Oreochromis niloticus: one gene and its partners. The protein of the gene in region 4 interacts with the protein of the main gene of each other region in a pairwise test. Links are inferred from orthologs where the notes say so. Each region holds a gene or a part of one and is shown on either strand. Other genes may lie near its edges. The genes, in order: snx12, ndrg4, myg1 and arl6ip1.

The links.
Region 1: the proteins of arl6ip1 (region 4) and snx12 interact in binary tests that used the Homo sapiens proteins (3 or more experiments, as listed by UniProt). The two-hybrid records come from large-scale screens. The link is inferred for Oreochromis niloticus from reciprocal best matches to the Homo sapiens genes ARL6IP1 and SNX12.
Region 2: the proteins of arl6ip1 (region 4) and ndrg4 interact in binary tests that used the Homo sapiens proteins (3 or more experiments, as listed by UniProt). The two-hybrid records come from large-scale screens. The link is inferred for Oreochromis niloticus from reciprocal best matches to the Homo sapiens genes ARL6IP1 and NDRG4.
Region 3: the proteins of arl6ip1 (region 4) and myg1 interact in binary tests that used the Homo sapiens proteins (3 or more experiments, as listed by UniProt). The two-hybrid records come from large-scale screens. The link is inferred for Oreochromis niloticus from reciprocal best matches to the Homo sapiens genes ARL6IP1 and MYG1.

The regions. Positions count from the first base shown.
Region 1 is NC_031975.2:19,206,754-19,214,499, forward strand, and holds snx12 (sorting nexin-12), read right to left. Parts: upstream 3,006-7,746; 5' UTR 2,791-3,005; coding exon 2,626-2,790; intron 1,163-2,625; coding exon 1,067-1,162; intron 788-1,066; coding exon 663-787; intron 347-662; coding exon 244-346; 3' UTR 229-243; downstream 1-228. Other genes in the region: uncharacterized protein LOC109203860, read right to left, coding at 4,635-4,877, 5,335-5,395. UniProt on the Homo sapiens protein: May be involved in several stages of intracellular trafficking.
Region 2 is NC_031972.2:4,222,159-4,229,665, forward strand, and holds the start of ndrg4 (protein NDRG4), read left to right. Parts: upstream 1-4,499; 5' UTR 4,500-4,654; intron 4,655-7,507. UniProt on the Homo sapiens protein: Contributes to the maintenance of intracerebral BDNF levels within the normal range, which is necessary for the preservation of spatial learning and the resistance to neuronal cell death caused by ischemic stress.
Region 3 is NC_031970.2:5,668,019-5,675,742, reverse strand, and holds the start of myg1 (MYG1 exonuclease), read left to right. Parts: upstream 1-4,716; 5' UTR 4,717-4,781; coding exon 4,782-5,066; intron 5,067-6,586; coding exon 6,587-6,699; intron 6,700-7,724. UniProt on the Homo sapiens protein: 3'-5' RNA exonuclease which cleaves in situ on specific transcripts in both nucleus and mitochondrion. Involved in regulating spatially segregated organellar RNA processing, acts as a coordinator of nucleo-mitochondrial crosstalk.
Region 4 is NC_031969.2:32,733,593-32,741,005, forward strand, and holds the start of arl6ip1 (ADP-ribosylation factor-like protein 6-interacting protein 1), read left to right. Parts: upstream 1-4,403; 5' UTR 4,404-4,533; coding exon 4,534-4,569; intron 4,570-5,345; coding exon 5,346-5,479; intron 5,480-7,156; coding exon 7,157-7,276; intron 7,277-7,413. UniProt on the Homo sapiens protein: Positively regulates SLC1A1/EAAC1-mediated glutamate transport by increasing its affinity for glutamate in a PKC activity-dependent manner.

The DNA of each region.
Region 1 (7,746 bases), on a different chromosome or scaffold from region 4:
GAGAGGAGTCACAGTTGTCTGAAACATCGTCAACATGTTGTGTGTGTTGCCGAAGTTCATGCTCTAACTCCAAGATAAAGACAATATGACTTTGTAATAATATCCACAGAGTGAAAGAAAGAGAGACAGAGAGACAGACAAAGAGAGAGATTAAGAGAAGTTAGGAGGGAAGAGAAGGCAAGAGGCAGTCCGTTCTACAGCCCCAACATTTTAACCCCCAACTGCCCGTATCCCTCAATAATCCTAGTGTCGTACTTTTCCAGGAATGTAGTTACGGTCAATGGTTTCCTCTTGAAGAAACATGTGAAGACAGCGCTCGTTCTGGGCCAAGGGGTGACCTGCAATTCTATACAGAAACACAGAAAGAAACATTGTAAACTCACTCTCTGCTCATTTTAAAATGCTTTTCACGAATGCTGGGGAAAAGGAGCCATGGATTTGTTGCTTGGTTCTCCTTTCCCAGGCACAGATTAGATTAAGCCTTGTGTTGGGCTACACAGTTTTGACAACAAACAGCTCACTAAAGTGGATAGAAAAACCTAAAGAAACAACAGCAATAGCTTTGATACAAGTTCAGCGATAGAAAAAACACAATGAAGTCTTGCTCACGTCTCCCTCCACCCAAGACTCCCGTCTATAATGTAATTTTGTGACTAACTGACCTGTTGATAAACTGCTCCAGGCCCGATCTTCGCTCCTCAATGAACGACTCGTCAAAAAGACCCTCATCACTGCGAAAGGGCAACTGTCTCTTCAGGGCCTTGCCCGGCAGAGGTGGTACTACAATCTGAAGGAGGCAGGGGTCGACACAAAGAACAGGGAAAAGAAAGAAAGAAAAAAAAAAGTCCACACTCAACATGAAACAAAGTCAAAACTGTAGACATTTACACTGGCAAATCTGGGCCCTCATAACAATTTTATGTAGAATAGCCGTGCAAGTGCATGTAAACATTTTAATCACCATATTTTCATTTCAGAAAATAATAATAATCAGATTACTTATTTTACATGGTCAAGTCACACAATGCAATCCCTGCACTTGCACTGTTAATTATTATTCACTCACCTTACTGTCTCTTTCCAGCTCATTCTTTAACCACTCAAAGTCGCTGTATCTTCTCCTCACACAGGAGTCCTTTAATTTGAAAATGGGAAGGTTCGTCTACAAAGAGAAGGCAAAAAACAAAACATGTTGGTTAATTTGAAATTCAACCATCTGCATGAGATAGCAACTGACATGTAAGGAACAGACCTGCACTACATTTCCAACTATTATCATTTTTCTTCCCCTATTTCACCAAAAGTTTTAACTTGTCTTTTATCTGGCTTCAAATCAGCTCTGCTAATCACTGGCAAAGGTTTGTTCTGTACAGAAAAAAATAAATCTATACTGTGTTTATTTGAAAAGCAATTAAAGCCACTTGTAAAAGCATAGATTATGATTGCAGCGACCCTCTGCTTTCCACTATTGAGCCCAGTGAGAAATCAAATCTTAACTGGACTGATATGGCTTTTTGGCAGTTATTAGTTAACCACAGGCCCCTGACCCAACCTCCCCTACCATGGTCTATTACAATTTTCAAGCACTGAGAACAGTAAGTTGTTCATATTGTGCAAGGCAGACTCTCCGCAGTGGCACAAAATGATGATTTGCAGGAAAGGGAGGCACGTTAACATTCAATTACACAATTATAGTGCGTCTGTACTGTGTCACTGAATCAGCTTCCTGAAATGTCCTTAGATTTAGCTGTGTTAGTGATTTCCTACGTCTCACATTCTTTTAAGCTTAGCCGTCTTTCTAGTGAACAAGTTAGTTAAAACTTGTAACTGTTACATTAAATTTGACTTACACAATTTCACAACAGTCAAGTAAAAGCCACTTTACAGAGTAACGTAAACTACCTTGCAATACTATAGAGAAAAATCCAACATTTAACTCGACCTCTTCATATTTCAATAATCACAAAACACTTTTATGCGTTTTGTTCTACCGTTTTTAGAAAAACACCAACACTGTTAGCCTTTTTCATTCAGCTTTTCTCTGAATATCAAGATCAAACTGTCGAAGAATATGAAGGAATAACGTTTAGTTACTCCTTCATATATCCACATACTATCCACTGATGTATTTAGCTCTAGAAATCCAGACAGACAAACAATGTGACATTAAATCAGTCTTAATTTTCTTTACAGCGCATTATCACATATAGCTAGCAGTTAGCTTCCCGGAGTCTGCTGGAAATTCCTGGTTTTGTTTTAATGTGTTATTCAGTTTCCTTTTACTTAACGCAGACTAGCTCACAAACAATACTGTTAGCTGAGGAGAAAATTAACTACAGTACTGACTTTGAACTAGTGACACTGCTTACATTCCCGTAATTGCACCTTAGCATACCTTCAAGAAACTTCTACATGTCAGCTAGGCCGCTGACAGTCCCAGCTGCTCGATTTTTACTCGCGCCCTACCTCGAGCTACTCTACGACGAATAGCGACAACGTCACGGCACGGTGACCCTAGCTGCTAAGTGGCTAACTGGCTAGCATCGGCACTGTAATTATTAAGAGTTAGCTTAGCGCCAAAAGCTAATGCTGCAAGGTGTTTGAGGTTTACGCCTCGATACCTACCCTCATGCGAACTTCGTAAGTTGTGTAACGGCCCCGTCCGACTCCAACGATTTGTGGATCATAAACGTCTATCTCCAGGAAATTGCTGGGGGGACCGTAAGCATCAGTCAGGTCCTGGGGCTTGGAATTCAACCGGCGAGTATCGGCCACCACAGGATCTGACATTTTGTCGGGTTGTGATTTTTAGACGACCAACGGAGAATGAGCGTCAAACCAACTAAATACACAGTGAAGTCTTAAATGTCATCTGAAGGCATCAACTGATTTCGATAGCCGACCGCTTCAGCTGGGGAAGTAGCCGACTTGTGTAGCTCTCTTTGCGGGGGCCAGCCGCCTTGCGCCCTACCCTTCTTGAATCAGAAAAATGCGTTGACTCAGTTCCGTACTGTGCGGGACACTCCGCACTCCCTCTAATGGACACACAGATATTGCTGATTGTACTGAGTTTCCTTTATACCCAGAGCAATTCACAGGACTGAAGTTTTGATGAAAAAACACAAAACAAAACACATTATTTGTATTTATTTATTTATTTTTTAAAAACAGAAGTAGAGACGTACAAGGGCCAGAGGGAGGTAATGTGCAAGCTAGCAAAAAATATATATGACACAAAAATAAAGGTAACAAAAAACATTAAGGCAAAGAAAAAGTACAACAAAATTGTTTTAAATAGATATCATTGAAGTTATATTTGTATACAGGTAGAGAAAATTATTGTTTTTCAATGTTTTTAAACCCTTAGAAAGAGCACAGCAGTTACACATGTTTATAAAAATGATAAAAAGATTTTTTTTTTAAATCAACAAAATGATAATTTGGTTGTTAACTAAAGACAAAGTGTGATATTAGGAGAGTATGAATGATGGCCAAACACATCTATTTGTTTGTCTGTTACAAAACATTTTCGGCATAAGTTTTACAATAACACTATTAGCGAGTCTCCAAAAGTTGAATCTGTTCATCTGGACGTAGCGAGTACGTAAACGATTGTATCATTCATACATATACTGTAACATTAACAGTAAGGTGTTTGGTTAAAAATAGTAAGATATCATGTTTTCAAATTGTCCAAATCTGCAGGGAGTGTTTGCTGTTCCCTGCTTATTCTACAGTTTTAACGGTTTACATGTGACAAAAAAGATTATTGAGCAAAGTATGTAAGTATATATTTCTACACTTTTTTCAGTAACCTCAAAATGTGAATGTTTATCAAAAATATAATAATATTTCCAAGCTCAGTTTTCACAGTAGAATAAAAAAGCTACTGTAAGCTGCCCTGAAGCACAAAGACCTTTACTTATTCTTATTGTGGGTTTTCAATAAGAAAACCCACAATTCACTTCATAACTTTTGCACTGTCCACTTCCTGCTATGACAAAACAAATTTCCCACGTGTGGGACTAATAAAGGTTATCTTATCTTATCTTATCTTTTCCTCGAGGTGGTAGCTGCACTACTTAAGTTAAACTCCTTACTTTCCACTGAGTAAAGTTGGGCTTGTATGTATTAATATGTAATTACTTTCAGCTCAGCTTACGGGACACAATACTGTGTCTCTCCAAATGAACACTTCAAGAATCGTTCCTGCTTTAAAAAGAAAACAAAAATAGAAAAAAATGATTCAAATGAAAAAAACCCCCAGTTTGAGGGATTGTTCCTGGTGCTCATGTAGGAAGTCAACAAAGGATTATGCGTACATCAAAGCATCAATTAGTCAAATATTTAGAGTCTAAACAATGTTTTCAAGAGTAACCGTAAATACTTCTGAGCTGAAGGATTTTAAAAACATATTAAACTCTTTATGAACTTTATTTACTTCTAAAATCTTAATCGCATGCTTTGGTTTTACCTCTATAACAAGCATTGATCAAATTAGGTTCCTGAACCAATTATTGGGGTTCTTCTGATAGTAACTATTGGGCATACCGTTTATTTAGTCAAATTAAGGTATCTCTTGCAGTCATGCAGGAGGTTTTTTGATTCATGTTTGTGAAATCCAAACATGGCTCCTAAACGGAAGCTTTTTGCACCTCCTCAGATGAAACTGGGTTAGAGGGAATGGGGGCGGACAGGTCTTCTGGATCTTGTTCGATGGAGCAGTCGGTTTGGTCGGTGGTGACAGAGCAGGTGGAGCCGTCGGAGCTCACCACATCAGACTGGGAGACATAGTTGTACTCACGCACAGGGCACGCACGCTCGTTGTAGTTCGGTTTAAAATTGTCTTTCAGGCCCTTGGAGAACTGAAACCAATCCTTAAAAAAGAGAGAAAAAGACCCTCACTTGTAACGAGTAATTGCTTCCCCAGAGTTCGACAACTAAAATCACTCAAACACAAGAGTATTTCTATTTTTAGCCATTAAGTGGCACTATTGTCAGACTTTTGGTCCAACTCTTGATCCAGCTCTTGATCCAGAGATCTTAAAATCTGTTAAACTGACTGCCTGAACATCTACAGACATTCAAGGTATCCAGAAGATGTAAACCCAGCTGTTCTTTAGTGCCAGCACGGTCTAGTCAATGACATAAATAAACAGCTACTGAACTAATTGTCATGAATCTTAATGTAAGTGTTAACATTAAAGCTACTAAAATCCATTAAGAAGCTCATCTGTCATTTAATTCTTCCAGTAACTTCAATAGCTTTCCAACTTCATATTAACATCTACATAAAACTTTCAGGGAGTGGACAGAACTCTGGATGCCACTGACCTCGATGTTATGCAGGAATGGAGATGGCTTGGGAACCACGGGAACGAGGATGATTCTGAGCCTGTATGGGAGGTAAGGAAATCTTTAGCATTCAAATTAACAATGCAACAACTGCATTAGACTTTGTTGGTTTCAGAACTCCAACTGAGCGTGGCTGGCAGACAGCTTTTGACATTAAGGTCAAGATTGATAGGTTTGTAGCTTAACCCTATTCGCTGGAACGTTGAAGACAATGTAATTACACAGCAAAGCAAGACACGAGTAGGCAAAGTTCTTTATGTTTCTCGTGCACGGGAGAGAACCGGACAAACACCGTTCCTTCGCTTGACCCCAGTTGCTCTCGTCCGCTCCCCCGTAACACTGCTCTTTTATTGAGGTTACATGAATATACATAGGTTCATTAACATATGACGTCTACATACACACAAAGAGTACCTTGCCTGTGCGTTGTGTAAGTATGTGTGTGTGTGTGCATGTGTGTGTGTGTGGGGGGGGGGGGGTCAGAGTGTGACCCCATAAAGACTTCCCTAAACCTGCTGGTCTGGAAGTCCAGCAGTTCATCTAAACAAAAAGCACTTAGACTAAAACTGATATACGTGTGTTTGCTATACCATATATCAGTAAGAGCAGATATAACCTCTCCCGTGCTCCCAGAATGTGGGTGTGAATGCCAGAACACTCTGGAATGCACACAATGCCTTTGCAGACTATTAAGGATCAAACCTCTACCAACATGACATTGATTATAAAACTCTAAGCATATATATGAGTAGATATTTCTAAGCATAAATGACAATCAACTATACAAATCTAACAAAGATCATCCAATATAAAGGTGCAACACGCTCCAGATCCAGTCCACCCCGTAGATGGATGATAACTGTGATCTTTAGAAATAAAATACTAATATCCCATAACACATACATAGCTTTTGATTAATTAAAAATGCAATCTGTCTCTCCAACCATCTTTAAAGACAATTAATGGTAGTCATGTGGAACCTAATAATCCCCCATATTCACAAGTGATCGCCACAGCAGGGAGCTCTACATGTTTGGCACATTTTTACACTGTGTGTCCTTACTGATGTAATGATATTCTGATGTTCTGACAGGCCTAAACAACAGAGTGGCCTCAGATTGAGTCAAATTGCTGATCTAAAATATTCTTTGAGTCTGCCGCTGTCCGTGTCACATATACTTCGGGAACTTTATTTCCCAAATGCACAGCGTGTAACACATTGCATTATCTGTAAATTCTGTTCTTTGATTGCTTTGCTGGTTAATTTGTTTCAGTGTTTCTGGAAGGAAACTTTGTGGGCTTAGCTTACTTCACAGGTGTGTTTAACGTCAAGCTTTTTCCTTTTTGTATTATTTGAAGGTTATTTAACGGCAGACTTTTATAGATCAAATAAGTAATGTGTAGTTTTGAAGATAGTAAGCGTTTCAAAGCTAGATCTTGGTTATCAGCATCCATATTATGAAATTTAGCGACAGTAAAGTAATTTCCCTGTGCATTTATTGTTATAGGTATATGTTGTTGTTAATTTGTTTAGAGAAGCAGTCATAGAGTTGTAAAATACATCCAAATGATCTATGAGCTGATCCTAATAAATCGTGGGATAACCAGGGTTGTGATGAAGGTGGTTCAGCAATTTATGATGAATATACGGTGAAAAATGTGTAATGGTTTGATGTCTGTACTGACAAATGAGAATCAGCAATGGTAACAGTAATTAAAAAAGGAATGTTTGTAACTTTGCATGATTGCAGATCATTTAGAAGGGATCTTTGATCAAAGCACATCTTCCTGGAACAGAATTTAGTCTTGTAGGCATCTCTATGTAATGGACAGTATCTCATGTAATTCCCTCTCTTTCAAAATAACAGAAAAGTGACAAGAGCCGTATGCAAGACAAAGGTTATTGGAAGTTATTCTGCTTGAAATAAAGTAACTCTGTAATATTTTACTGCCAAAAATAACAAGTACTTGTCGTGTACTGTGGTCTTCTGCCTTCAGAAATGTTGTGTGTTTCCTGGGTTGTGTGAGATCTGTCAGATGTTGTGCAATGGAAACTTTCCACAAGACAACAAGCCTTTGATACAATCTAAAAACGATCTTTAATCTTTTCTCTGGGTCACTCGTTTGCACTCGTTTTGGACGAGTGATCTGCATTTGTGTTTGGTTGATGTTTTTTTGCAGCCTAGATTTTATACACTAGTTCACACTGGATATATTAATTGTTAATTATTTGTTTACATTTACTGTACTGATACAGTAAGTCTGGGGTCTCAAACATAAGGCTTGAGTGCCAGAATCGGCCAGGCGAAGGCTCCAATATGGCCCACTGGATGATTTTGAAAAATATGAACAAGGACATACATTTTTTACTTTTAACTGTGTTTTCAAAAG
Region 2 (7,507 bases), on a different chromosome or scaffold from region 4:
GAGCGGAAATCCTCAAAAACTTGTGAACCACAATGAAATCATGTTCACAGCTGGTACAAAACTGGCCTATATGAAGAGTTTCTCCCTTAATAACAACTTTATGCTGGGTGATTTTTTTTAGTGGTTTACTCAAAAACAATGATGTCATGTGAACTGGGTACGGGGTACACCTGTCGTCTATAACCCAAAGTGTTTTCACTGTACAGCTGGTGCCAGAAAAACAACCAAAGAAATTATAATTACTAAAGACTTGTGTTAATAAAGGAACAAAGTTTGTGCTTAAAGTACATTTAAAACTTAAAGTCATCTGATGATAATCGTGATTACTGCCACAGAGTCTAATGTCTAAACACATTTGCAGAAACATCAACTATCTAATAACAAAATATGTCCCACTACCCAGAATCAAAGCGATCTGTAATACAGTCTAAAGTCAGATAAAGTGATCACATAACAAACTGTTCTGCATTTTGTTATTACTGTGAACTCTGTATGAGAGGGCAGACCGAATATTAATACAGTAATTACTCCCATTTACAAAACCTTCTTTATACTGTCCTGCCAAATAGATATTTTTTGAAAAACAGGCCTGAGTTGCCCACCAGCACTCCACACCCTCACCCTCACCCCCCTCCTCGCTCCCTCCTCCTCCTCAAATATGACTCATCTGTGTGAAATCTTAATTCGTCCTCAGGTGGCACTAAAACGAATGAAGGTAACTTGGTGGGGGTAATTTGTTGAAGTGTATTGTTGATGAATTGTGCAATGTATCAAATACTGCAGAAAGGCTGTATTTACCTTACAACTTTGCTCAATAATAACCACTTATATGATGCTGAATTGTTCCATCTCTTGTGGCATCTCTGATTTGTGATTCTGGGCTATTAAAATAAAACTGAGCTGACTTTTGTGGCAAATAAAATCATTGCAATTAAAACGCCTCAGCTTATTAGTGGCATTGCTGTAAATGCTCTCTACTGCAACAAAACAGAAAAGTGGCTTCTATCTGAGGTCTGAAAGAAAGGAGAATCTCATCACAAGCATGATATGGATGCCAAATCTGCTAAATGCTCTAAATTTGCATGTGATGACGTAAATTGGACTCACATATGTTTTTAAAAGCTCTATCTGTATCACATTTAGTGCTTTATAGAATGACACAGCATAGCTTTACATAATGACGGTCTGAGTCATGCATCCCTTTAAACTGAATACATTAAATTTAGATTGGATTCAGAGGGATTCTTAAATGCTGCTCAATCAAGATGAGTTACATAGCAGAGAGTGCGTTGGCGAGCTCGCCATCGGTTTGGACCTGCTGTGTAACAGGTCAGCTCAGGGTTTGCTACATAGGTTATACTGTCTGTGATACTAAGAAGATTCTCATCCTGCCCTGACAGATCAGATGATCCTCATCCTTTAGTTGCTTCCTATTTTATTTTCTAACCAGTTATTTACAATCCAACAATGACGACCACAGTCCTACAGCCTAGCAACAGCAAACATTTGATGAAAGCGCTCTGACAGCGAGGTTTTGGGAGCTGCCTGTAGACACAGATGCTTGTGATTAGATCATAAATGTCAATTGTTTCAACTAAAATGTGATATGTATTTTCTGTTGTTATCTAATATTTTCTATTGAGAATGATATCATGTTAAACAGCCACACGGTTTTGGTAGCAAGTAATAATATATGTGTACATGGAGTATGATTACAGGCAGTGTTTAATGTTAAGTTTTTGGTACTGTCATTATGTGTCTCATTATGTCTTTCAACAAACTGATGCATTCTCATAAATACTAAAAATTAACAAATATAATAAATGCATAATTGTATTAATTAAAAACTACACAGGATAAGGCTGGTTTGTTGAATACAGTGGTCGAATACAGTCTTATGCATGTGGCCAGACACCGGCCACAAACGCAGAACACTGAAGCCGGAGGAGAAGAGAACTCGTAGGCATGTTCGTGCCGTGGAGGCATATTTTATTTCGTCTCTGCACCTTCAGATTCAAGTTATGCAGGACCATACCCATATTTTATCATCTGACATAAAACGTCAGCAAAAAGGTGAAAACGCGAGGAAAGAGACGCCGACACCAGCACCTGAATACCTGAATACCACGTGATCCTCTTCCTCCCACCTCATCTTCTGAACTGAAGTCAGGGCTTTATCACAAACATTATTTATTAATTATTCCTGATACTGTCACAATTACTTATTGTCAGCAAATTAGACATACAACCGTCCCGACTTCGAACAGCTGCACGAGGTAAATGTGATGTATTTGATCTCTCTTGACCAAAACATGTTTGTCCTACAGCGGCCACCGTAGCTACGATTATGTGCTTGAATGTGGAGGTAAGATAACAGGATTCACTTGACTGCGATCTGTAATGCACTGACATCTAGCGGTGAGATTTTACGCACTGTAACTTTAACAGATTACTACTGATAAACTATGTGTTACATTACAGCTTCACCTTATGAGAAGAGTAACTTACTCTACCTTTAAGTGAAATGATTTAGTCATATCAAGTTGATATTTGCAGCCTTTCCTTTATCACGTAAACAGCAGCAGGGATGTTAATTCTCCCACAGAGGGACAGCTTCTGCCAAACTAAAAGTTTAGCCATTGCTGGAATGCTGGCATCATTCTCCTCCTTAGTTTGCTTCAAGTGTTGTGGGTGCTGTGATCCTCGTGCAGGTGCTTCTTCATAATCTCATTAGGGCTCTTAATGCACACGACAGACGTACGAGCACTGTGCCTTAAATCTACTTTCTTGCTAATGGCCAACAGATGGTGTCTGGGTGTAAAGGGAAATTCCTCGTTGGCTCTTACCTGCTCCGTGACCCTGCGTTTGCCATCTTATTGAATGAAACGTACTTTAGATTTAGCCTATTACGGTCGGGTACCTCAGGCTACGCTTGGATTCCAAAACACAGAGATGACAATGCCAAAAACATGGAACCAAAAGGAACAGCAAATGGTTTCTAAAAGTAAAGAAACAGAAAAAATGAAGCTGGAAACTAATGCTTAATGTTACTAGTTTTAACAAAAAGTAATTAGAGAGCTATGATGAGTTTCTTTTCAATGCCTCATCACTCACACTGGTGTTTGCTTCATCTGTGATTGTCTCTAATGGTTAGGCACATCAATTTCTGGTAACATCACAAATGTGAGTCGTGATTCAGATGTCAGGAAACAGGTCGGAGCTACCCAAATCTTCGAATGTTTAAACAATATCAGGCTCTGTTTATTCTTGGGCCGGCAGCGATGTAAGGTGCCCAAAAAAGGGGATTATGTGACCGTCCCATATGCTCTCCAATCCTGTAAACAACACACTCCCAACACACTCCCAACTCTGGAACACGGGGTTAGAGATGGAAGGTGGACAAGTTTAAATTGCAGGCCTAAACACAATCTTTTCTTATAAACAAGCCTTACTGTATTCATAGCAAAGCTGAAGTCAGTACTCTACCAGAGACACATGGATGATGCAGCTATCAGTGCCCCTATCACTTCATGCCCCAGTTGCCCAAACATGGTAAGCTCCTTTGACGCTTGCTTTACCCAGACAAAATAGCTCTTCTGTTTGCCTGTGGGCTGTTGGGTTGAGTGTGTGTGCGTTTGTGTGTGTCTGTGGGCGTGAAGACGTCTGAGAGCCGTGTCAGAATTGGACATTCAGAAAAGGATATGTTCTTCCAGATTTGGATGAATGTATTTTTGTTGCCTGGTTTCAAAATCCCGAGTAAATTCAAAGCTTGCGAGCTCTGGGCTGCAGAACGGCACCGGTGCAGAGCCTGGCTGGTTTTATAGGTACAATTTACACATGTGTCACATGTAGGCAAAGAAAAACTAAACAATGACACATTTACAGACTCTTAGTAGTTCTCTCGAGAACCACTAATCGAAAAAACACGAGTAAATTAAATCATTTATCACAGAACATTAAAGGCAGGAAACAGATCGTGTTGAGTAAAGATATGTACGGCTTTATCTTTATGAGGCTTAGATTTACAATCAGAATAATGTTTGGCACTTATTTAAACTTAATGTCAATGAATGTCATTCAAACACGCTTGTGTGTTGTTATATGCCCCTCCCCCTGCACACAGACACAGTAGCGCAGGCACTGTAGTCATCCATATGACCTCTGACTCTGCAGTGCACCTACTCATGTGTCCTGCAACACACCTGGAGAGTCTGAAGCAGATCAGATGACTGGTTGTTGAAACTGGTGAGGAAAAAGAGAGATTTCTGGATTTTTCGTATGACGAACAAGACGGACGTTCCCACGCCTTCCTTTTAACCAGACTCACTTTGTTATATTTTTACCAGCGTCTTTCTCATCCTTCACTTCTCTCCTCGCTTCTCGGTGCTGTGATTGTCAGCGTGCTGCATCATTGGTGAAGCCACGTGCTCTGTGTTTATCATCAGGAGGGGGAGGGAGATAGAGGGAGGGAGGGTGAGAGAGCTCTTTCTCTCTCATTTCTAGTGCGACCACAGGAAGACACACACACACACACATTCACGCACAAACACTCTGAGACGTACACTCAGCCAGTCTGTAGCAGCCTGAGGGACGGACACAGAAAACACGGCGACACCAGACTTTGCGGCCACAGAAGCTCTGAACAACACTACAGGTACCGTAAAGCTTTGTCTGCCTGGATTGTAATATTTATTCAACAGTTTCTACCCGAGTGGCAAACAGTCATTTGCAGGTGAACTCTTTGAGAAGCTTCGTGTTTTGACTCTACCCTCAGATTTGAGCTCGGATGCAGTGAGGCTGCTTTGTGTTTGAGGACTAGAGGAGGAGGATGTTAAAATGAGGACGGGAATTTTGGCACGGTGTATGTGAATGCTGCTGCTGAAGCTTTGTGCTTTATACTTTTTCTCTCTCTCTCTCACACACACACATACACACCCCTGTTGCCAGCCTCTGCATTGGCGAGAACAGGATGTCAAGAGGTTGAATTTATTGACCCCACAGGAACCAAAGTGCGACATTTAGAAAACCAGACAGGATTATTATTATGTATTAAACCCAAAGCCTTTGCATTTATATTGTATTTTCCTGTGTTGGGAAGTGGGATTATAAAGTTGTAGTTTAAAAAAAAAGTCTTGATGCTTTTAATGATCATCTGATTCTGATGTGTCTGACTTTGGCAATGGCAGGGGAGGGAGCGATGCGTGCTAAAGAAAACAATGCTGGATTTGAAGGAGACTGAGTCAGCTGGATGATGAATCGACAGTAGGTGGAAGTCATAAAAGTTGATTGAATCTGGTGCAGGCTTGTGTTAGTGGTGCCCTGAAAGTGCCTGCATTTGGCTCAGTGGTCTTGGCAGGACCTGACAGATTAGAATCATAAGGCATCGGGGCATCGTGGTCAAAATAAAGAGGCTGGGTGATCGCATTTAAAAACTAAAGAACCATATAAGACAACATTAACGTATATGCAGATTTGATCAGGACAGTGAGGTTTGTTGCGTCACACCAGCAGTAGAATGAACAGATGAACAGATTAAAGTGCATTTTTCATATCCTTAAAAAAGCAACAGTGTTGATGTCCCATTTTTATTTGGACCTCTTACATAATTTCTCTGTAGGATCAGCAACTGCTCTCCACTTATCATTTTCTTGCAATGCATCTTTTGCTATGTTCAGATTTCAAGCTACTATGAAACTTATTGACTCGTATTTTTCCTGCTGTTTCTTGAGAACATGAAACAGCCGCTGAAGCCGAGCTGGTCTCCCCTTCGGGAGCGGGTCTGTTTCTCAGCTCGCAGTTTATAAATAGATTTACAAAGAGCAATACGCTCCTGCTCTTGTTCATCACGAGCTACACAGCAATGCTAGCTCACACCAGTTAGTCCATATTTGGCCAGAGGGGTTTTTTGGGGATATAGATTAATTACATTATTCCAGAATTTTCTACAAGTATGAACAACATGAGTTAAAATCTTGCTGAATTTCCAATGGAAGAGATGCAGTTTTGGGTTTTTCTTTTAAATCATGTCACCTACTGCTACTATACCCCGATTAACAGCTCATAATTTTTCGTAATTTTACTGCTCCCTACATCCAACTCACTGTGTATTGCACTACAACTCAAAGTAAAAAGGTTACTATCCCTATAAGCACAATAAGGGTTACTATGTGTCCAAAATGGCAATAAGATACGAGCGATCCTGCTTCCATGTTTCACCTGCTGGTTCTAGCCACAGGTTCCAGCTCTTTACATCTTGTTGACTTCACGAAAATCAAAGGTATTGGGGAAATTTCACAGCCAGATGAAAAATTTAAGACAACCTCTCAGATAAACAAAGCATATGAAGTAGTAGGAAAGTCCCAGTACCAAGCCGTAAGTCAGAGGAGCTTTAAAAGCTAGCAAGAAGCCACTGCTTAGGAAGCTATCTGCATATATCTGCATCTGCATATCAAACATACAATTGCACATGCATAAGGCGCAGATATAATTCATTAAGGACTTAACACTGACCAGACCATCCAGGGTTAGACTTAGTGTTGTTGATGTTGTTATTTAATTACATGCTAAATGGAAAAATGCTTTATAAACTAGAAGATGATAGATTTTAAAGTCACATAACAAATGGACATTGCAGTCACATGAATCTTTTAACCTTTTCTATTTGTTCACCTTGAACTGAAGATCAAGGTAGGAGGTGAAGTTTTCTAACAATCTTATGAAGACCCTAAATAGGAAAAGATCTCACGTAGAATTTTCAAATTTATGTCAAACGTGCGTCTACTGGGAGGCTGAGGGATAGCACTGGTGATATTTTTGCTATTGTCAGCATAAACTTCAAGGGGTTTCACACCTTAAAGACCTTTTAGCCACAAGTTGATCTTCATAAAGCACCGACTAGTTCAAATCACAATACTTTGGTCACAAGTAAATTGCTTGAAACAAAGCAAAGAGAAAAGTTTGACTTTTGGATGGGGATTACTTTATTACTTTGAATTAATAGATAACAGATAGAGTGCTGAAGTCAGAGGCTACATGTTGTGAGATTTGACAGTGTGGTTACGTGGTGATCTCTTCTCTAAAATACAAGACAAACGCATGAAATCACATACTGCTGAAATTATGCTTCTAGAACGTTTAACTACTTAGTAAGGAAGGCTAAATGGCTAATTCCCCAATTTTAACCTCTGAGCAGAACTTAAACTGACTGTGAGGTGCGTAGCAGTCACATCAGCTCTCAATATACCACTCGACTACACACTTTTATTCTGTTAAGACATTTCCTTAGACAAAACAGTAAGATTAACCTAAATTTCAGATGGGGGTAACAAAACTGTCCCTTAGAAGAGATGTCGGGTATGTGAGGCTTTCATTGCTCGCTTTCTGGTTCCTTCTGTTTGGAAACAACTCTTCTTGCTCTTTGGGTTCTTTGCACCGCTCCACAGGCCACCGCTCCCCCCATCTCCCTCCCCCCAGTGGCATTTTCAATAGCTAGACAATGAGACTGGCA
Region 3 (7,724 bases), on a different chromosome or scaffold from region 4:
TGTAAAGCTGGAAGCAGCAGATCACAGGCACTGTGACGTTTTCTGGGTCACCACCCACAACTGTATCTCATGGTTTGAGACAAGCCAATGGGGAACAGTAAAGCTGGGTGGTCAGCAGTATAACGAGGCTGGATAAGAAAAAAAAAAAAATCTTCATCTTGTTTATTTCAGTTTTTTGTGACCATGACTCATTTCTTTTCTGGGAACAGGTAGAGGCAGCTGTGCCCCATGCAGAAGTCAAGAAACAAGAACTGGATCTTCCCTTTTTAATTTAAAATTTCCTTTCAGAGATTTGCTGTGATTTTGGCATTGGTAACAATGAAAAAAAAAACCCATATCTGCTTTAATTGTATGTCCTCAGTAGTTACTGTTTCTTCTCACCACGTTTGTTCTGAAAAAATAACTTTGGAACTCATTACATTTTGCCAAAAAAGGAGTTCTTGCAAAAGTTTTTTTTAAAAAAAATCCATTAATATTAATTTTGCTACAAAGTACAGCACTACACACATTTATACTTTCTCTTATATTTTGCATTTTGCACCAGACTTGTTTGTATTTTTTAAAGTGGTCTTGATCATAGGTTTTTAAGTCTTTCTGAAGCCTTTCAAAGTTTTTCTTTGGATGGACACTGACTGCTTTTTCACTCATTTTCAGTCCAGTCCTTGTTCTTGATCATTTTCATCTTTTTGCTTGTTTGTTTGTTAAATCCCATAATACAAATCACTAAAGCATAAAAATGCACTTAAGACAATTGATGAACCACTGTTTTATCTACACATAACAGACAACTTGGCAAAGAACCAATTTTAAATTGTATTATTAGGCACTCGGTTACTAACAGCCTGTAACAAAGACACAGTTTGTTCCTCTTGCTTTAGTCGAATTTATGACACTATAGAAAGATGACACGTTTGACAGGCATGAAATCATATTTTTGCAACAAGGTGATTCCCAAAGCGCTCTTATGTGATCTTGCAGAAAACCTGGTGTATCTGAGCATGAGGTGCAGTGTGTTCTTAAAAAATTTGAGGAACCTGGCCAAGAAGAGGACAATGAAGAAGTGGCAGACCTAAAAAACTCTACTTCAGATGGGACGTTTTTCCATTTTTCAGCATGATAATGCAGCAGTCACCAAATACACAGGTACACAGGTTATGGTAATTACCTACTTGACCAACTCACATATTAGCTGTATTAAGAATCACTAACTTAACTGAAAAAAAGGAGTCCCATAAAACTAAGATGGAGAAGGACTCACCAGTTAGGTCAGGAGTGAGCTGTCCATGGTACTGTTTAGAGGCTACAAAGTCCAAAAGCAATAATGCACCAAATACACTCAGTATACCTGGCAGCATGGACAGAAATAAGACGATGCTTAAATGTTCACAGGTAAAAACAAAACAAAAACACAACAAAATAACTAAATTCATTGTAAATGTTTAGCCTTGTGATATCCTGCCCAGGGTTTACCCTGCCTTTTGCCCTATGACTATGGATGGATGGACAATTGGACGTTTTATTTTTCCATTTAAACTGAAACAGCTGAATGTCTCCTTGGCATAGGATGGTAAATGCCAAAATGTTATTTCTATACATTTTCCTGATCCCAGAAATACACTCATTTAACCTTTTGATCACTGTGCTTTTCCCTGAAATGAGAACATAAAGGATCGGACTGGTTTTTTCCCCACCTTTAAAACAGACTGATAGGCATAACTTCTTACATTAACCATGTTCTTTCACCCATTATTTCATTCATTCATTTTTAGTACCACACATATAGCATATTTAATAAAGCTTTAACAGCATATAATATAGTATTATATATGCAATTGCGAGTGCTTGAGTTCTATTAATAGTATGGCTGTTTAATGATTTGGAGGTGAGCACGACGTTTGTTTGTTTGTTTTCTGTTTGTCTCATATCCTTTAAATCTCTCCGAGTAGAGCTCCGTTTCTGCGGGACACTTAAAAAAATCCCCCTTAGTCTTCCATAAAATACAAGTTGTGTATTTTGAGGAATAACATTGGGGCTTCAGAGGAAATACATAGAATGATGGAGTGTGGGCGTCGACTGCTTAAGTCCCTTTACAGGAGAAACCCTACACCGGCCTCTCTGTGGACTCCCCCACTCCAAGTCAATGTTTATCGATTTCATTAGGCTGAAATAAAGACTTGCCAACGTGCCCGCTGAACTGGTGACACAGACGATGAAGCAACTTGGTTAAATGACTGGGACACAGCGCCACCTGGTGGTTCGACCTCAGACAAACATCGCAGCAAATATTCTCTGACTGTATTTACCGTTTTAAATGTGTCAGACTTCATGACTCATTGTCCCCATATTAAGGGAACATCTGCATTGCTAAGCAGCTGCAGTATGAATTGATGCCAGTGATACATTTGCATGCGATCATTAAAACTGGACAGGAAGAATATATTACCAACATCGAGAGAATGAATGAGGCTCTGCAGGAAGCAGGCTGTGCATTCATAACGCTAATACAAAATCCTACCTTTTGCAGGCTTGCTGTTTGGTTTCCGCTGGTAGATCGGTTTGTAAAGCAGGAAAGAGCAGCGGTTTTTCACACGGGAAAGCCCTTTAACCGTGCTACCTCCGTTCAGCCCTGCTGCTACTACTGGGGTCCCATCTGGCTAATTACCTTGTCAATAAACCTTGAAGGTAATACCGCGAGAACGAGAGTTGGGGGTGAGCGCTGATCCTGACCCTCACTAATGATCCCATCCCAATTCCAGCATGGCAGGAAAAACAGTCCAAGGCAATAACTCAAGGTTTCAATAATATTTATGCACGTGTCCATTCATATTAAAAACCTGTCACTGTATTGTAGATTTCATTTAAAAAGGAACAACAGTTCGTTGCGCCTCAAGGTGTAAAACAGTGTAGAACAAAGCTGACCAGGAAAATGTTTATATGCATTTATATTTATATGTATTTATTCATATGCACATGTCTAATGCACTAACCTTTTTACTGTGATGAGACTCTTCTGTTGTGTGCATCTTTTTTGTTGACATTATCCTTGAGATGGAAACTGGACAGTGATTGGATGTAATTTAGAAAGACACACACCCATGAGCTTTTCTCAGGACAAACACTAAGCCATCAATCTCCAAAGATGACTTTATCTACTCTAATGAAAGTGTGGCGAAGTGTGCGGGGCAAAGGGTAGAAAACCTTTTCTTGTGTCATCCCAGCAGGAACAGTGGCCTAAATAACTGTGAAAGGAAAAAAAACAAAAAGGTTTGTAACCACCAAGATCTCAGGTTGCACTAAAAATGCACAAAGCTGTGAATGGCTGAAAATAAGACAAATGGACTTTCACCTCATCCAAGAGGTTTTTTCAGTTTTAAAATAACTGATGGAGAGTCCCAAGTATTTAATACATAGTGGAGGCGTCAACCTGGAGGAGATCCTATGGGATAACCCAGCTAGGTGTTAAACCTGGAGTCTCCATCAGTTGTAGAACTGAAGATTCCTCTTGAATGAGAGATACAACGTCTTCACAGACAAAAAATGCACAGCCTGTCACAGTGTCTGTGTTGCTTTTTATTTGATCTTCTTGTTCTATCGGCTGCTCATCTCATCTCAGCATGTCTTCCTTCGCTACATCTATGAACCTTCTCTGCGTTCAACCTGTTTTCCTCCTGCCTACATATCCATCTTCAGGATCCACTGAATAGTGTAAACTATCCCTCTTCTGTACATGTCCAAACAGTCTCAGTCTTGCCTCAGTAACTTTGTGTCCAAGATGCTCAACCTCAGCCCCATCACATTTCTGTATTTTACCTTCTTGCTTCTGTTTCTTAGATTTAAAGTGTGCATGTTATTATTTTCTAATGCCATTTCCCTACTCTTTTGCACAATCTCTGTCTCATTTCTTTTACATTTTTCTTTAACTTCATTTTTTTTTATTTTCATCACTGCTGTATATATCAAATAGTGCTAAACATTAAAAATAGATATGAGATTATTTTTATTTATTTATTGCACTACCTCACACTATAGGCCTGAAAGTCTTCATCTCTGCCTCTTGTCATTTTGTCACTGCCACCTTCTCTATCCATACATCACAGCACATCTCATTACAATCTTGTAAACTTTTCCTTTAAATCTTGCTACCATCCTTCTCTCACAAATCACCCCTGACTCTACACCCTCTCCACCCTGCCTGCACTCTCTGCTTCACCTTTCTTGTGTACTGTCCCCTGCTTTTGATAGTTGACCTCAGGCATTTAAACTATTCCACCTTCACTTCACCTCCTTGTATCTTTTCTTGCCTCTCTCATTGACAAAAATCTATTTTGTATGAGAATACGAAACAGTGAATCCTTGTAAATTTAACATAATTATTTTTTATTATTATGTAATTGTAGAATATATTTTTTAATAAAATAAATCATGTACAGTAGTACATAATTAACCATTTGTGCATTATACAGTGTCCAAGTCCTGCTTTTTTTTTTTTTTTTTTAACCCTGCAGCGTCCTCTGCTGTACACAAGTTGAGTTATCATTCTCCTGTAAACGAGCTTCTCCGATAATATAATCGCTCTGATTACCTGTGTTGTTGTCACCTGTGTTGTTTATCACTGTCTGCGTGAGTAATTTAAGCCCATAAAGGCAAACAACACAACGGTAACAATGGTGACAACAACAAAAATGTTACCCGGCATTTTTAGTTCTCTAAACAGGAGCACCACATCCGGTCCGGCTGTCAAATGTGTCCGCCACTGGCGCGTCTCGTGGATTACTCTTTGAATGTTGGTCGTGCGTGTTTTTTCGTTGGCGCTTAAATTAACAAAAAATAGATATTTTCTGGTAACGAGTGAAGCAGCAAGTGTGTCACGAAAGGTATTCTCGCGGTTTAGCTGCTTTAGTTCGCCCGTGCACTTTGCTAAAGGAGAAACGCGCTACATGTCAAGTGAGCCGAAGAGACTCTGCACCGAAAACATGACCGTTACAAAGATCGGAACCCACAACGGGACCTTCCACTGCGACGAGGTTCTGGCTTGTTTCTTCCTCCGGCAGCTACCCGAGTACTCGGTGGGTGCAGCACGCTGCAGATTGATGGAAACATGTTTGGGGTTATTGCTAACTCCATGCTGTGCGTTTAATTTTTTAATGTAATCACTGTGCTCATCGTTACTAGCTAGGTAGAATTTAAATCCTCCCAGGAAGTCCTCACCGTAAGGATAAAGCCACATCTGCATTTTAGGAAAAAACAATTAATCTTGTAATCTTCTGTTGACGGGTCCAGTGTTATGCAAAAAAAAAAAAAAAAAAAAAAACACACCAAAAGGGGGCGCTGTGTGTAAACGGATAGCAAAAACGATTACAGCATAAGCCGTTGTATGGTGAATATGTCACACATTTCAGTGTTATGGTCTGAAACTGAAAATACAGTTTTTGTGTGTGTGTATAGCCAGCTTTGCAGAGCATTTGAGTGAATTTTTTAAATAATAGTTAATCTCAACCTAATGGCACCTTTTGTCTCTAAATGGTACAATACTTAATATGGGTGATAAAATAATATTGATCAGATACAATACTGATCAGAGATTTGCTGCACTGCCCTAATAAAATCTGTGACCAAACCCAGGTTATAACCTGTCGTAGCTGTACCGTTGTTTTGTGGCACTGTATTGTTTATATTTGTAATTTTTATAATTTATATTAGTAACATAAATACCATATTTGATTACCTCTGCACGTCTGTGATTTATGCGTAGTTTAACAGAAACATTTTGATGACATATCTGAATTGACATATACTTTATACAGTCAAAGCTTAAAGGTTGGACCTCCAAACACAGTGCTGGGCTTCTATGGTCTAATTTTTCATGTGTTTTTTTTCTTTTCCCTCTGATGAGATTGTTGTAATGGTCTTTTAACAGGTATCAATCAGAAAGCATTAAATCAACTTCAGATGGTGAAAAATGCAGCAGCCTGACTTCTTAGAAGAACCAGGAACACTGAACATATTACGCCACTCTTAATGACTCTACATTGGCAGGCCATTACTTCTAGAACTGATTTTCAGATTATAGTCATTACTTTTAAAGCCCTTAATGACCTGGGCCCAGAATATATACTAAAACTACTGTTCCCGTACCAAACACCAAGCAGCCTCAGATGCTCAGGCAGAAACGTGTTAACTGTTCCCACCTCACATTTGAAGACTAAAGGTGATCGAGGGTTTGCTCTTTGGTCTCTTTAGTTGTTGAATGACAGTATCTTCTGCTCTCTGTCTTCATTAGTGTCTTCTTTTAAATCCTTGTTTTTAAAAAATAAATTTGATATAAAATGAGATTGTGTATGTTTTTCTTTCGATATTCTTTTATCATCCTGTTCTTTTAGATTTGCTAATTTGACGTTTTTCATTACATTTCGAGTCTTATATGCCTTAATATTTATTTATTTGTAATTTCTTTTTAATTTCATGCTAGTTTGTTTTTTTTATCCTGTGTTTCTGGAAAGTAAAGTGTTATACAAGTAAACAAATAATAAAATAATTATTATTATTAATTTATTTTGACATATATTTCTTTCTGTTTGTTGCACAGGATGGAGAAATCGTTCGCACCAGGGACCCTGCACAGCTGGCGGAGTGTGACATTGTTGTGGACGTTGGGGGAGAGTTTGACCCAAAGAGGCACCGCTATGACCACCATCAGAGGTGCAGTTCTGGCAGTAAGCTGCTGAAAAGAGAGAAATTTATAGCTGTAGATTTCTAAAATATTATGTACTCTGAACTAAGACTGGGGGAGAGATTAATCTTCACTGTTCATCAACAGTAAGGGTCAGGATCATATCACAGATTAATTTTATGCCAGCTGAAAAATTGCATTTCAAGTTTAAGATTAAACTCTTGTTTAGTCCCAAGTGCTGAAAAAAACTCGGTGTTGCATTTTATTACATAAACAAATGTTGTTAGAAACATTATGGCCCAATCAGATTAGTGGTGTGACGATATCGGCCAAAATGAGCTATTCATGTTTTCTGTCTGTATCGGTAGTTTTAAGGATCAATAAAAGAAAGTTTTAAAAGGTAAAGAAGATACAGGAGAAACACCACTCAGCCATGTTATGAGTGTTGATGTTACATAGTTTTTCCAACAGAGGGAAAACTCTATTTCCCTGTCGGCCACTCTGTTTAGGTTTTATTTTTCTAAAAGTAAAAACGGCTGACATATCAGATTATTGGATTTTGAAATTGCCAAATATTGGTATCAGACTTAACAATCCTATATCGGCCAGACTCTAATATACGTATGTACCAATGGAAGGAAGCGTAATCTTTAAAGTCTCCAGTCACTTCCAAGCACTGAGGTGCACCATCTCCAGCAAGCCAAAATAATTTATTGGAATTATTACGCCTGGATTTTTCCCGCTTTAACATCGTCAACGTACAGCCTTTGGGATTTCTTTTCATTATCTGAGCTCTAATGATGAGGAACTACATTTCTGGGTGGCTTCTGCTCTGACATCTTTGAAGCACCCTGATTGCATGAATCATAAAGTAACAGGCTCTGTTTTTTGTGTAGAATTTCTTCCTGATGATTGCATTCACTCGACGTCTCATCACGTTGAGTAATCAGCCTATTCCAGGTGTCTTGTCAGCTTAATGTCCTGATGATAATCAGCCATAGCTTTTATGACCACTGCGATAAAGATATGCCAGGGCTCTCTTCCTCGCAGGCGG
Region 4 (7,413 bases):
TGAAGTGCTGGAAGGCATGTTTAACTTTTTTAAATTGTTCTTTATGCTTAAATAAAAGTCTGCAAAAGCAATTAAAGTAAATATAAAATTTTAAAAAAAAATCGAAAAATTAAATAAATTTTAAAAATGTGTGTGGAATAAAGTACTGTACAAGTAAAGATCCAAAGTAAAAATATATTAAACAAAAATGTAGAATTACGTTAAAAAAAAAATAATCTTAAAATACTTTAACTTAAATTAAAAAACAAGATTAGTGTAAAAATAAAGACACTATTATACGGGTTAAAATCAATAAATAAAAATAAAACAATAGTATAAAAGGTAGGAGTAGGAAAACCTGTACAGACAGTATTTGTTCCTACAATTATGCCGACAGCTCCCTGATCCTGAACAGCAGCTGAAGAAATTCTCACTGAGGTAAGATAACTTTTAGAAATCTTTCAGGATGTGGTTACGGTTCGACAACAAGAACTTTTCTCATAAAACGCTTCCGCTGCTAATAACCAAATATTCTGATGCAATGGTAGACGTTATAAAACTGGCAGTGTCTGAAGATTATTAGCTACTACCTGTTTAAAGCCTCAGACTGTCACAGGTGTGTCATTAAATCCGTTTCTCGCACTCTTTTTGTTTTTTGTTGACACGGGTTTGTTTGAAGCTTCGGTTCTCCGCAGGCTGGAGCAGCCTCTGAACCGGTTACCACACGCTGTGGGGGCCGGTGTGCGTCTCCGCTCGTGTTTAACGTGAATTCTTCTTCATTTGATCTGAATTTATTACCGCTAACAGTAATTTTTTGGCGCACTAACACGTGCGACATAACAGGCCCGCTGTTGCGCCTGATTGTTAAATAAGCTCAATTATGATGACTAGCGCCAACAGAACCGAAGTGATACGCAGATATATATATATATATATATATATATATATATATATATATATATTAAAGGAGTAAATGCAGCTTCTCTGACATTTGGTTTCCTTACCAACTGGCGAATGTAACGCCATGTTTCTAAAGGCCTCTCAACACACAGCGAAGCTAATATAGCTAACGTGTTTGATACGTACCAGCTTGTTCTCCGGGCGGGGGCGAAGAGAAAACGGCGTCTGAGATAATTTGGCGGTTAATAAGGTCCCTTACAATCACACGATCACAGAAATTAGATTATAATAACAGTGTCTTTAAAACAATGCAGAGATAAAGAAACGCTGCTAGCTCCGTTAGCTTTCAGATAGCCCCTCTGGTCTCCAACCGCAGGAAGAACGAGACTCACAGTGACGTCAGAAGCACGCAGGCGCGGATAAAGACTGACGCGTTCAGGTTCTGAAAGACAGAACCATATTCACAAAACAAAACAAAAACTACACCGTTCTGTCGTTATCCCCAATACATGAAAGTCTGGAACCGGCTGTTTGCAAAGTCCGAGTCTCTGATCCTATGGGTATCATCCAGTAGGCACTGCATACCTTGGATGGAGCCAGCTTTATAGTCCTCTGAATGTCGATCCTGCTCCCTCTAAAGGTGTGCTTGCCTGGGTGGCCTTGCAGGTCAGCTGCAGTCCTTCAGACACATCCGTCATCATCCGTTCCGTGTCGATAAAATCCAAATAGGAAGGGAGTCAAATCCTTGGAAGTTGCAATCCAGCAGGAAACAGACAAATGCTTTGACGTTATAATCCAACAAAAATAAGCAGAAAAAAGGCCAAAAAATATATAAATCCAATTTGTGAGTCCACAGTATTGCACTTTGATCAGCTGGCGTTTTTTGCTGTAATTTCCAACTGTGAATTCCCAATCCCAGATCTTCTGATACTGAAACTAGAGGAAGAACAGCTTATTCCGTCTGCATGGGGTGTTTGTGCATGTTCTTCTTCTCTATCCTCCCCTCCTTGATCTCCACGAGACATCTATGACACCTACATCACTCTATGCTGCTCTCTCTCTACAGCCTTTCAAATACATGATTTAAAGCAAAGTTCAGTCACTTTCATTATCAGTCACAAATGACTATACTTTACTTTTCATTCAGTTTTTATGTTGTTGTAGGATGAACATCATCACTCTTTATGATTCTAACTTGATCTCTTTTTAACTCAGTTAGGAATACTTTTTCTCTGCATGACTCGGCATTTGTGACTCACAGTATACTCAGTATCACTTGTTTTGTTCAGAATCATGCATGATGATGGGCCGGAGTCACATTTCACTCTTTTACACGCACACTCTATCCACTGTGCTCTCTCTCTCTCTCTCCCACACACACACACACACACATACACACTGAGTCAAGGATACATCATAGTCATAACAATGCTCCTGGAATCTGGGTGAAAAAAATCAGGCATCTCAAAAACTGAAATTTGGATTGTAAGGGACGTTATTACGCTAAACTCAAACTACAGTTCTCATTCATTATATTGATCAGACTTATACTTGATTATTTTCTGATTATAATTATAAATCATTAACTGTTTCAAAATCATGTACTCTGTTTTAAAACTCAGTGTGTCTTTAACAATAAAGGAGCTGGATGTTAAGTCCTTTTACTCCACTTTTTGGTAAAGATGAGCCTGGGATGTCAAATCTCTTTGACATTATTTATATATAGATCAGAACATGAGTTTATTTTATGAAGAATTTACAAAAATATGAGGAGAAATGTATTGAGAACATAATTTCTTATAGGCCTAACTAGGTTTGTGTCCTTTGAGTGCCAAAAACAGAAGACAAGCTGCATCTCTCTCCTTTTTAAAATGTTCAATACAGTTCTGTTACTCCCCCTTCCTTCTGTCTTAACACAAGGCTGGAATAAATTATTTTCATGCTGTCTATGTCTATGTGACATGTTAAGAGGATGAACGAGGACAGTGATGAGGGGTCCTGAGGTGTGCAGGCATGAGATTCAAGGTGGGGGAGATCACAGGGTCATGGACTATGATGTTTACAGACAACATTGTGATTTGTAGTGAGAGTAGGGAGGAATGCTTTACACGTGTGTGAATGAGGGAGACGGACGTAACAGTAGCATGATCTGACATCTTGGCGTTGTTCCTACATCATCATAACGATGGTGGTCCAAGATCAGCGTCACAACTGACCAGTGATGTTGTCTGAGCGTGCAGTTAGCATTAAATGACGGTGGCTAACACTAAACCAGAATTGATCATATATTTATTGTATTGTATAAATTGTATAAAAACACTTGGACTGCAGACCATTTGTTCCAGAAGAAAGTTTTATATAAACAAAGGAATTTAAAAAAAAATCCTATCATATTGCAAAACTATGACAACAACATGATTCATTAGTTGCAATGTTGATCAACATTATTATGATAATGTAGGTACAACACCAAGGCGTAGAGATAGAGGTCACAGCAGAGGATGTAAAGAAGCTGGATTATCACGTGAAGAAACAAAGCAAGACCTTCCTGTAGTGAACTAGTTTCCTTTCATTTTACAATACTGATTTCTTTTTAATTTATAAAATCTCCCAAATTAAAATAAATGGTAGTTTTCATTAACCTGATAACATTTCAAGTTTCTACTTGTCCCAGAAGACCGAGGTGGATGTGGAATTTAAAAATGATCTTTATCCTGTAGAGGGGGCTGTTTAATGGCTTTTGGACTGTGTTAACGCGCTGCAGATACTTCATTACAAACTTTAAACTGTAATAAAATGCAATAAAAAACGTGTATTTTCTCAGCAGAAAGTGTCAGTAAAGCGCAAAAATGAGCATGCCTTTAATTTTAATGGTGACATCATTTCTGTAACGCTTTTTTCAATAAAAGTAAAGAGAAACTTATAATTTTTTTTGATATTTTCTCAAAGTTTTCTTTCTTTTTTCCTCTTTAAAAATGGGATTTAACTTTATTCTTAAAATGCCAAATTAAAATAAGCTCCTGTAATGCTTCCTTTTTCTTAATGTGTTTAGCTGTTGTTCATTTAAAATGAATTTAAAATGCTGCGTTACATTTTAAATTCTATTTTTTGTTGTTAAATTTGAAATGGTGTACTCTGTTACGTATATGCTCTATTATGCAGTAACTTAATATTTTTAATTTAAAAGTATGCTTTAACTCTCTTGGATTTCATATCAGATTGTATCTTATTAAATTATTATTAATGTATTAATCTTTCGCTTTAGCTAATTAGCTAACACTTCTTTGTAGTTATATTAATTTGTTCTTATGAATATGGGAAGTTTAAAGAATAATAAATAATTTTTGAATATATTCATTGTCATTTTTTATTTTATCTTGATAAAATTTATGATTGTGAATAAAAGATTATGTAAAAAAAAAAAAAAAAAGATGTTTTCGACAGGCAAGGATCAATATTGGAACTCCATTACCCAGAGTGCCTCTATGGACAGGTGTGACGTATGTTTTTCAGTTAAAAACATCCTGCCTCGGCTCGACCGTTAGTGGCGCTGAAGCTAACGGGAGCGGAGGGTGCTGTCCTTCTGTGGGTCGTTTCTCCGAAAACTCTTAAAAGAACTCCACATTAGAAAGTAGACCGCTCAGTTTAGCGATAATGGCGGAAGGAGACAACAAAAGCATGAACTTGATGGTAAGTATGAAGCATTTTTAAAACCCACAATGGCGAATTTAAAGGCTCGTGTTCGATGTAGGCGTGTTTGCAGCAGGAGCGTTAGCCTTACCCGTCGCTGCTAATCTGACGGCGCTAACACTACTGCGCTGTTTAGAGATTTGTGTAAATAGTGTGAACTTTACACATGCGGGCAGCTGAGAAGTCTAAGCTAAGCGATTTAACCCCGATCGCTTATCCGTCCGTGCTGCCGCTGACCGCAGCTAACCTTAGCTAGCTGACTAGTTAGCATGCTTATTTTAGCTTCAGTAGCGGGGACGCTTCCTTTTTGTGGAGCTGCTGCCTCGCCCTAACGCAGAAATCATTTTAAAGCTTTTAAAAAAAAACTGAGATCGAGTCATCACACGCTCATTCGACGTGGTTTGACAGCCTGTGTTTGTCCCCGGTTATTTCTACGTGTAGTGCTCTGTCACTGCGCCGTCTTATCACCAAAGACACACACCCTGTTTATTAATTTGCTTCTCAAATAGACTTCTAGGCCACAAAACACACAAACTGAGAGCCATATAAACGAGTATCGTTACATTCAGTTGCTCTGTGTATGAAACACAGCAGGATAAACCCACATCATATGACTTCAAAGGTGCTAGCCGCTCTTCCAGAGGCAGCACAGTACTGTCACCTTTATACTAACTCCTGGAGAGACTGCCCTCCTGAGTACACGCTCCTCTCAGATCACACTGATATCACACAGTTTGATGGTCAGTTAGGTAATGTGTAAATGTTTGTGTGTTCAGGCCCAGGAGACGGCCCAGCTGGAGGAGCAGCTGCAGTGCTGGCGAGAGGTGATCCTGGCTGGGGATCAGGTCCTGCGCTGGGAGAAGCCCTGGTTCCCCGGAGCGCTGATGGGTGCGACCACCGTGCTCTTCCTGTGAGTCTGCTACAGAGTGTGCGCTACACAGCTGGCACCACACGTTTCCTTCCTCTCAGCAGTGATGGCTATCTGAGAGCAGGGAGAGGCTTATATTAAATTTTTATATTTTACATCTGCCAGCGACTAAAAGCAGCCTGGTTTGAACTCAGATGGGCTGAGCAAAGTAAACCACTGTAGCATTTCTCATATTTGTTTCTTCCAGTATAGAGAGGTTTATTCTGAAACCCCCAGTAAAGCTAACAGCACACAGTGTTATGTCTTTGGTCAGCTATCTTCCTGATTTAATCAGCAGTCTGATGGTTGGTTGACCAAAGATTTGCATCACAGTATTTTACGATTCTGGTGGATTCCATGGATTTATTTTTTTTGTAGTATATTTTGTTTAAGTGGGTCTTTATGTAGTTTTACCTTCTTCTGTCAGGAGTATAAATTATTCAAAAACTACTTTAAGTATTTGACATAGGGCTATAATCACATCATAACTGTAAGTCTTTTCTGTTTTTGGGTTGGTTGTAATGTCACTTTTTCTTACAACTGTTGTGTACAGGTGATTCTGTCTCCAGGTGAAATCTCCTCTCTTGGAGTATCTCCCCTCGTTTTTCATCCTTCATCTGTCTGTACTGCACAGAGGCCTTCCTGTCTGCTAACATACTGCTAGAATTGCGCAGCAGCTCTAAATGGTGTAATTTAGGATGTGTAACGTGTTAGTGGTGCACAGCAGCCATTTCTATGTTTGCTCTGTTGAACTGAGTTAGCTTTGGAGTTTTGTCTGCTTTTGTAAACGTAAATGAGTCGTATAATTACAACCATGAGTGAGCAGGGTGCAGAGCTAATACAGGTCCACTTTCAGTGTGCTGCTTGTGGTCAACACACGCGCACACACACACGCACACTCTGGCTCTTATTAAAACCACTAGAAAAACCACGGTAGACATTTTAACTGTTTATTGTAGTGTTCAAGCTCAGACCATGATGTTGTCAGAGGAGCGCCACCCGGCACTGCAATTACAAAACTGCTAACCAACAGCCTCAGTTGTTTTTAGATCGATGAACCGAAGAAATCCAAAATGACAATAATTTTGTCTGTTAAACTTGACAAGTCGCACAACTCTCTTTCAGACACTTGTGCTCTTGGTTAGTAAAGCAGGCGTCACCACAGAAAGAACAGCAGTGTAACCGTCCCTCGGGGTGAAATGGAGGCTTTGGCAGGCTGATTCTGGCATTGAGTTTTGACTTATTACTAATTAAGATGATCAGCAGGCCTGTGACAAGTAATATAAGCCTACAGTGATGTAAAACCAGTGTCCTAATTACAGTTTTCCAGCTGGTTGTCAGAACACTCAGATTAATGTTAATCTTTTCCACACTGTTGAAACACAAAGCAAAACAATGCAGATTCTGCTAAATGAGCTTAGGTTGGGCCGTTATTAGCGATTCCTGAAATCTACTGAAGGTGAATCCAGACTAGAACACTGCTGCACTGTTTCTGATGCCTTCCTGCTTGTTTCACACACCCTCAGTGTTCATGTCTTTCAGCTGCAGGTGCTTTGTAAAACTGCAGCTCCAGCGTTCATGAGCAGATATCCCCAAATTGTAACAAAATAAAAATAAAGGCGTGATTTTAAACGATGAAATGTTCAAACCCGTTCTGCCTGTTTTGTGTTCGTCCTCCAGGCTCATCTACTACTTGGACCCATCAGTGCTGACCGGCCTGTCCTGCACCGTCATGCTGCTCTGCCTGGCTGACTATTTGGTGCCGACCCTCGCCCCCCGAGTGTTTGGCTCCAATAAGTGGTGAGAGCTCGGTCATATTTGCTTTGGCCCAATGAAGACAGGTTTTCCTGTTTTGTCAGTCGGTCACATCACACACTCTTTATGGGAAGCTGAACAGCAGGATGAGTCATGCATTCATCTTGAAATGGTGTCCGAGT